Linked DNA regions of Tamandua tetradactyla. The protein of the gene in region 1 binds, or shares a complex with, the protein of each later gene. Links are inferred from orthologs where the notes say so. Each region holds a gene or a part of one and is shown on either strand. Other genes may lie near its edges.

What was found.
Region 2: the proteins of ATP2A1 (region 1) and SLN are in contact, whole or in part, in a crystal structure (PDB 3W5A), measured with the Oryctolagus cuniculus proteins. The link is inferred for Tamandua tetradactyla from reciprocal best matches to the Homo sapiens genes ATP2A1 and SLN. Residues at the interface, in XP_069919846.1 of Oryctolagus cuniculus: Phe88, Val89, Leu96, Ala100, Ile103, Val104, Trp107, Arg110, Asn111, Asn114, Arg324, Lys328, Trp794, Leu797, Gly801, Leu802, Thr805, Ala806, Phe809, Trp932, Ser936, Leu939, Leu943, Leu946, Ile947, Val950, Pro952, Leu953, Ile956; in NP_001075856.1 of Oryctolagus cuniculus: Met1, Glu2, Arg3, Ser4, Thr5, Arg6, Glu7, Leu8, Leu10, Asn11, Phe12, Val14, Val15, Thr18, Val19, Leu21, Ile22, Trp23, Leu25, Val26, Tyr29.

What each region holds. Positions count from the first base shown.
Region 1 is NC_135349.1:25,051,327-25,055,238, reverse strand, and holds the start of ATP2A1 (sarcoplasmic/endoplasmic reticulum calcium ATPase 1), read right to left. Parts: upstream 2,522-3,912; 5' UTR 2,317-2,521; coding exon 2,199-2,316; intron 1,871-2,198; coding exon 1,853-1,870; intron 1,588-1,852; coding exon 1,505-1,587; intron 414-1,504; exon of another isoform or gene 314-413; intron 143-313; coding exon 38-142; intron 1-37. UniProt on the Homo sapiens protein: Key regulator of striated muscle performance by acting as the major Ca(2+) ATPase responsible for the reuptake of cytosolic Ca(2+) into the sarcoplasmic reticulum.
Region 2 is NC_135334.1:34,162,692-34,166,603, forward strand, and holds the start of SLN (sarcolipin), read left to right. Parts: upstream 1-1,488; 5' UTR 1,489-1,585; intron 1,586-3,912. UniProt on the Homo sapiens protein: Reversibly inhibits the activity of ATP2A1/SERCA1 and ATP2A2/SERCA2 in sarcoplasmic reticulum by decreasing the apparent affinity of the ATPase for Ca(2+). Also inhibits the activity of ATP2A3/SERCA3.

The DNA.
Region 1 (3,912 bases):
GTCAGGATGTGAAGGAGCGAAGAGGGCTCAAGCTAACCTGCCAAACCCCAACAATGGCGTTGGCAATGAGGATCAAGAGGATGACAAAGGGTTCAACAAAGGCAGTGACGGTCTCTTCGCCTTCCTCAAACCAAGCCAGCACCTGTGGGACAGTGGGAGGAAGATTAACAGGTAAGGAAAGGAAGCAGAAGTATTCCAAAGACCACCGCATAGCGATGAGAACATTGCAGAGCTCAAGGAACAAGGCCCCAGGGGGCAAGTGCAGCCCCACATCTGTTGGGAAGGTTCTACACATTCAGAGGCTCACACTTACACATGCATTGTCCTGCTCTGTGGTGGCTCGTGCAGCCCTGTACAACTAGAGGATCGACTGGGAATGCTTTCAGGTTTCCCTGACTGAGTTGTTGGCTTGTAAATGAAGCCCAGGGGACACCCAGCCAACCACCCCCCACCTCCACATCCATCCCAGGGGAGCCAAAGCCCAGAAGAAAAACCCTGCGGTCCTCGCAGGCACCAGGCCCATGGGCAGGGCAGCTCCGATTTCATGAGGGAGGTGGGGGAATAGGGTTACGGGCCTCCTGTACACACCCAGCCCCAGCTGTTGCCACTGCCAGGCAACAGCCACCGGCAAATGTCAAGGAGCAAATCCCAGAGGGTAGAAGTGAGGCCCTGCCAATTGCAGGGATGAAGACCTAAGGAAACTTTTTTTTTTTTTTTTGCCTTTGGCGTCTGGTCTTCCAGGAGGACTAAGATATTAAGGAAGAGACCCCTAAGTGTGGTAGGACAGCTGGGATGCTGGGTGCTGGAAAGGGGCCCCAGGCCAGGGGGCTTTTTCTGAGGTTGTGAGATGAGGTTGGGGGGCAGCTCTGAGGATATGAGGGGCCTGAGAAGTCCAGGGCAGATGGGTGAGGAAAGGGATTCCGGGAGTCCCAGCCCATAGCCTTCGGGGAGCAGTGGTGAGTCCCTTCCCCGCTCCCTCCGCCCCATTCCCCCCGCACCAGCGGCTCTTTCCCGCTTCCACCAGAGAGTCCTTCCCTCAGCCAGTCAGCGTCAGGAGGGCGGGGCGGGGGCGCCGGGAGGCCCAGGGATTGGTAGAGCGCAGCCCCGGGGCATGCCGGGACTAGTGGTCTGGGGCGCGGACAGCCTCAGTCCTTGTCTAAGCCTGGAAGCCGGGCGCTTGAAGGTAGGGTGGAGTGGGGTGGGGGTGGGGTCATCCGAGTCTTAGTCCTTGAAGCTGCGGGACGGTTTAGCTGCAGTGTTTTGGCCCAGAACTCCCATAAAACTTCAAGTAAAACCTGCCTGCGGAGGGTGGAGGACAGAAGGGACGAGAGTCTCGGCGTGCCTCAGCCCCATCCCCAGCTTTGGTCTGTAGAAGAGGATGCTTGGCCAAGACGACCGGATGATTCGGCGCTCCCTGCACCTCCGCCGCCAACAGGCTTCGCGCACCCCCCCCCCCCCCCCCCCCCCCCCCCGCCCCAGTCCCTAGCAGCCATGCCACACTTACAAAGGAAATGCAGGCAGCCAGGAGCAAGATCCGTACTAGCAGGTCTTCAAACTGCTCCACTACCAACTCCCACAGGGACTTCCCTGAGGGGAGAGGGGGTTCAGGTCAAGAGGCTGAAGGTGTGGACTCCAAGCGGAGGCAGGGGCCCAGGGGCTCAGTGGGCCCTGGATCGGGATTAGGAACAGGGAATTTCTGGGATACTGGCGGGCCCCCTCCCCAAGCCAGACTCTAACCTTTGGGGAGGGATGTTTGTCCAAGGAGTCTGGAGGGAGGAGGGAAGGAGATGGGAGTAGGAGACACAGCGTTGGGAGGGTCATTTATGAGAGTCCAGGGACTCCAGTAACTTACCTTCCTCAGCAGGGAGCTCTACCCAGGGGAAAAGAAGAAAAGGAAATAATCATTTGGTGCTCAATCCAGTGCCCTTCATACCTAAGGCTTTACAGCTAAGATAAGAGAATCAGGCCAAAGAAAAGGCAGCTGAGGTTCATCAGGATCATCCCATGAAACCTCCCCAAACTCGGGGTCTCAGGGAGTTTTCACAGTATCCTCTCCCCTCCTGTAGTCACTGGACCACGGTCCAGCCTTACCCTGGAGAGAGAGGCTCCAGTGGGAGTGGGAGTGGGAGTGGGGGAGAAAAGGGCGGAGGGGTAAACACAGGAGGGCGCTACCAGCCTTTCCTCCAAGGGACACTCACCATTGGGGCCAAATTTCTCCAAATGCCGCTTAACTTGGTCCAGGGTGAGGCCTGTGGTCTCACTCACCCCAAAATAGGCCAGACATTCCTCCGTGGTCTTGGAGTGTGCGGCCTCCATTGTGCTCCCTTCCTGGGGGCCACGGGGCGGTGTGTTCTTCCTGTGGAGGGGTCTCAAGTGTGGGGGTCTTCCTCAGTGTGTCCACCTGCCTGTCTGGGTTTCTTGCTTTTTCTCTCTTGCCCCCCCCCCCCAGGATTTTCTTCCCTCCACGAATCTCTGACCCCCGTCCTACTTGCAGCAGCTGGCCACCCCCCCCAGCCCCCAGCTGGTCCTTATGAGGGAGTGGGGGGGCCAGGTTCCCCCCTCCTCCAGACCAGGGATTGGCTGGCTGAGATACCAGCAGGAGGGGTCAGAAGAGAGAGATATTTCTGCTGACAGAGGGGGAACAGTGGGGCTGCAGCCTGAGATGTCACTCATGAGGGAAGCTAAGGTGGCCCTAGCCCCAGGGAAGGGATGGGGTGGGGAGATTTCACACTGTCTTGACTTACTGACCCCTCTTCCAGTTGCCTTAACTTCCTCTGTTACACTGAATTTCCCATCCCAAACTCATTTCCCCAGTTCCTCCCTTTATGTCCTTGTCTATGCTCAGGCCTTTACCTTTCACTTCTTCACACCCTCATTTCCTGCTCGATTACCCTGAACCTAATTTCCCCGGCCAATCTCTCCTCACCCAGTTTGTTGAAAGGGCAGCAGAGATACCTCAAGCCTCCAGTCACCTGAAAAGGGGGAGAGCATCTTTTGAGGGGCTGAGGCAGTGGATGAGGGGAAGTAGGGAAGGGAGAGGGTCAAGGGGACAGGGCAGAAGATGGTAACCCTACCCTAGGGAGGGGTGGCCGCAGCCATCAACAAGGGATTTAGTGTCCAGGCCCTGGTAAGCAAAGCCAGGACTGCCCTCTGTTCCCCCCAAACAACCCCCCCAATTGCTCTAACAGCCTGCAGGATCACAGCCTTCAGTGCCCCCCCATCTCTGACAGGGAATCCCCCCCCCCTGGGAAAATGGGATACCCAGGCAGTCGGGTAACCCAAGAGGCTACAGAATGTGCTGATGGCAGAGGGGGAGGGATAAATGTTTCAAGAGGGGGACGGGGTCACCCCAAGTCACAGAAAGAGGGTCATCTCATCCTGGTGTGCTCTGGTTAACTCAAGGGCAGTGTGTGGTCCTCACTCCAGCCCCAATGGCATCTGTTCTTCAGGAGGAATGAGGATCAGGCCTGCTGTGTGCTCAGGAGCTGGGTGAACTCCACTGAGAGAGGTGTAAGGGAACGGACATCAAGGAAAAGGGTCAGGGTAAAGTAGAGGCTTGAAACCAGAGGAACCAGGAGGGAGGCAGATTCAACGGGGCAGGTCTAGGGCAAACACGCAAAGAGCTGGGGGGTGAAGGGCAAAGAGCCAGGGCTACCGGGGGTCAGGGATGTCTGAGAAGCAGTGGGGAAAGAGGGCAGCAGGGAGCAGGCTTGTGGCAGCCGGGTGGGCGGGGACTAGGGAGCTAGGTGTAAAGCTACAAGTTGTTGCTGAGCGGCTGGCCTTGGTGTCAGCTTCCTCAGAGAAGCAGCTGCTTGGAGCCGCCTGCCACCCACCCCACCCCTGCTCTGGGGTGGGGGCTTTTGGTTTCCACCAGGGCAGCTGCTGGGGAAGCAGAATGGAGGGTACCATGAG
Region 2 (3,912 bases), on another chromosome or scaffold:
AAAGTAATATGAAGTTTATTTTCTCTTAGGAAGATTAAAGGTAATTATTTTTTCTTATATACTTTGGCATATTTTCATTTTTTGCAATAAATAAATAATTTTATTTGGGAAAAAAATTTTAAGTGGTTTTAAAAAGGGGGGGGGGGGGGATGGATATTGCTTGGTAACCAGGAAAACATTCTTAGCATTTAAACCATCTGGCAAGCACTTGGAGGCAAAAGATCGAAATCTGACTACATTCAAGGAGTTTGCCAGATGGAAACAAATAACTGCCAATGTTCAATTGTGCTATAATTATTATACACTACCTGTCACTTCAGCAAGCTCTTTTTACAAGGCAGGTGGTGACAGAATGCTGTATTAAGATTATGGGTTGATGGTGAAATGAAGAAATGGAATGGGAAGTCTTTCTTTTAGTGATACCTTTGGGGTATGTGAAAAAGGTTTGACTATGAACACAAATATTTAATTTTATTTGTTTTTGCCTTCTGGGAATATATTATTTCAGTTGCCCCTAATTGGGAATTCCAAAGGGAAAGTTATCCTATTTCTTATAGAGAAAGGATTTGTTGAGCAAACACAGTTGCAGGGGTCAAGTTTAAGGTACTTAATTGATCTGCTTTCAAGTCCAATTAAACACTTAGAAATTCCATTTACCTTCAAACATCTAGTATGCTGATTAAAACTTGTCTTAACTAGTCAGTGTTTGTATTTGAAATTAATAAAATTCTATTTCCTTCAAATATATTCTATAGTTCATGTTTTTCATTAATTTTGACCGGTTCTCCTTCTACCCCTAATCTATCCAAAGACTAGGTTTTGCTGTATGAGTTTAGTGCTGAATTAGTTTACTGATTGAATATGCAAACCTTCTTCTCACGCAAAACTTCATCAGCTCTCTCAGATGAAACTATCTTAATGTGTAAATTTGCAATGTACAGGCTTAACTGGAAAGTCCTGTAAAGCTGATGACTGAGAGGAACATTTTCACTACTTGGACTAAAAAAAGTCAGTTTTGAAGGAGCTTGAGCTGCCTTTTGAATTCTGGTGTGTATGTGTGTGTGTGCTCGCACACACATGCAGGCATGGGTAAGGAAGACAGAGAATGCTTTATATTTCAAGCAGGTAAAGATTTGAGGAGTGAAATGAAGTCCATTTTTTATACCCTGAGTAAGGGGAGCAGCCAAATGCAGCATCAATTTGTTAATAGTCTATCACTGTCTCGGGGTTTATGATGTTTTAAAGCCATGTTAGAGATATTCATGAATATGTAAAAGACAAGTTGGAAACAAATTAAATGCACCAGTCACCTTCGGAAACAGCAGGCTTTTAAGTCCTTGTGATGTTAATACAAATTAGCAGCCAAAGGAACAAAGTGTTAGTCAACATATTTCTCTGCTCCCCTAAACGCAAATAGCCTTGAACCTTCAGAGGTTGTTCCTTTGAGATGGTTCATCGGTGACATCACACTGGTTGCCACCTGCTTGGACTACTTTAGGTCCTGCCCAGAGCCCAGAAGTCACACAGCTCTGGAGGAGAGCCGGCGTTTGAAGAGAAGAAAGAGGAGAAACCCACCGCAGCCACGGTGCGTCCTTGACCCTTTTTGGGGGTAATAGCAGGATTTTTATGTTTAGCATACATTGTGTGCATGTGTGTTTGTGTACAAATTGCAAAGGAGAAAGGCAGAGGGATGTTTATATTTCTTAAAAGCAATAGGCAATGCCTATTGTATACAATTCTCAAGATGTAAAGTGAATATTATTGATTCTTATTCTCCTTTTTTTTTCTCCTCATGGTACACATTTTCTCCCTTCCTGTTTCTTTTTTTATGAAAATTTGATTTTCATAACATAGAAAAAGGGCTGTATTTCATCTTCTCAAAGTCTCCATTCAAAGAACGTCAATGTCAAACTTCCTGCTCAATTTATTCAGAGATATTTTGGTTTTTATTTCATCCACTTGGCAGTCATTTGGGATGATATGCTGTGAACTTGACAGAAACTTCAGAGAAGGTTTAAAATGGGGACAAAACTGTCTTTGGGGATTAGCAGCAGAAAAATGGAAATTTGCTGAGATGGATTTCTGTCTAACTTGGTTCATTCTGGGTGTAAATGTGTGTAAAAGTAAAGTCCACCCCTTACAATTAGCATTATGTGTTGAATTTAATTGGATAATTAATTGGATTCACTAGAAAGTGCTACATATGCTACAAACATACGTAAAATGAATGTTTTATTCATCCAAAAAGATGTAGAACAACAAATATTTCAAATTTACTAAATAGTAAGAGGTAAGCCTCAGGAAAAAAATAAGTTTGGTAGGTAGCCTATTAACTCAGGGACCATCTAAAAAATAAATGTGAAAAGTACATCAAACATGTGCAGTTTAATCAACAACTACAAGGCAATGCCCACCTGGGTTAAGAAAGAGATTACTGCTGGCACCCCAGAATCCATCCCTGATCTCCCACTTCTGCCACCCTAGGGAATCACTATTTTAATTGCTGAGATTATCTTTCCTTGCTTTTCTTTACACTTTTACCATCTATGTCTGCATCCCTAACCAATATGATTAAATTCCCTGTTTTTGACTTTGTATAATGGAATCATATTTTATGTTTCTTTTAAATTCTACTTTTGCCCATCACTTATGCTTGTGAAATCCTGTGTGTAGCTGTAGTTCATATACTTTCTTTGCTCTATTGTATTCCGATGCATGAGTTTACCAAAATTCATCATTTATTCTACTGCTGATGGACATTTGAGTTGTTTCCAGTTGGGGCTATTGTAAAATGCTGCTGTGAGCATTCTTGTACAGATCTATTCTGGTACACATGATCTTGAGTTGCTAGGGTAGAAGCGAAATTGCTAGATAAATAGGAAACAAGCATTTTTAAGTTTAATAAAAATGCCAAATTGTTTCCCAAAGTGGTTGAAAATTTACATTAATGTTGTTTTAGCCAGTCCAATTAATTGCAGTATTAACGCATTCTTGTAATCACTCCTATGCAGAACTATAATCCCAACATTAGTTCCAGTCTGCCAGTTCTAGCTCTGCCTCTAATTTGTTATGCATCATAACACAAGCAACTTAACCTCTTTCTAAGAGTCGTTTCTCAGAGAGTGGAAAAAAATAAAAATCATAATAGTACTTGCCCGAGTTGTTGAAGGTTGTAGAGTTACTGTGAAGGTCGCATCAGCAGAGGTGTGGAACAGTTTTCCTTAGCATTTCCTCACGTTCCGAGTCTATTTCTTTGGGACCACTTCACAAGACTCTTTAAAAGCTGATTCTAATAAGCAGATTTGGAAGGACAGTTATTGAAACCCTTTTTCAACTGGGTTGCTTTGATCATTGTAATCACACTCTCATATTTTCTGCATATCTTCGTAATCCTTAATTTATCCAAATAAGTAGGAGTTTGAACCAGCATTTGATTTTATTAATGAATTCATGAGGAGGATTCTGACTTTGATTCTGTTTCTGTGTCTCAAGCCTCCTGGCCTGAGGTCATCATCTTCCTGTTATCTTCTGCCCTTTGGTACATTCTTATATATTCTCTCTTCCTTTATTCATTCACTTTCTTCTGTTAACTCTCTCCTCAAAGTGAATCTTTGTGAAAATTTTCATTGGCAATCGACTAATTTTCTTCATGCATAGGGCCAAAAGATGGCTAAGAATTAAAAGGAAAATGAAACTTAAATCAGTCATCATTGGCCTCATTTTAAACCAAGATCAGCAATGTACTGGTTGGCACCACTGATTTGAACCTGTGTGTTATACCAACAATAACATAATTGAAAAATGATTATTCAGCTGATGCCTAAAGATTTAATAACTTGGTCAATTAAAAACACAGTAAATGCAATTTCAGTCTTGCTAGATGGCTAAACAATACCATTCAGGTCAAAATTT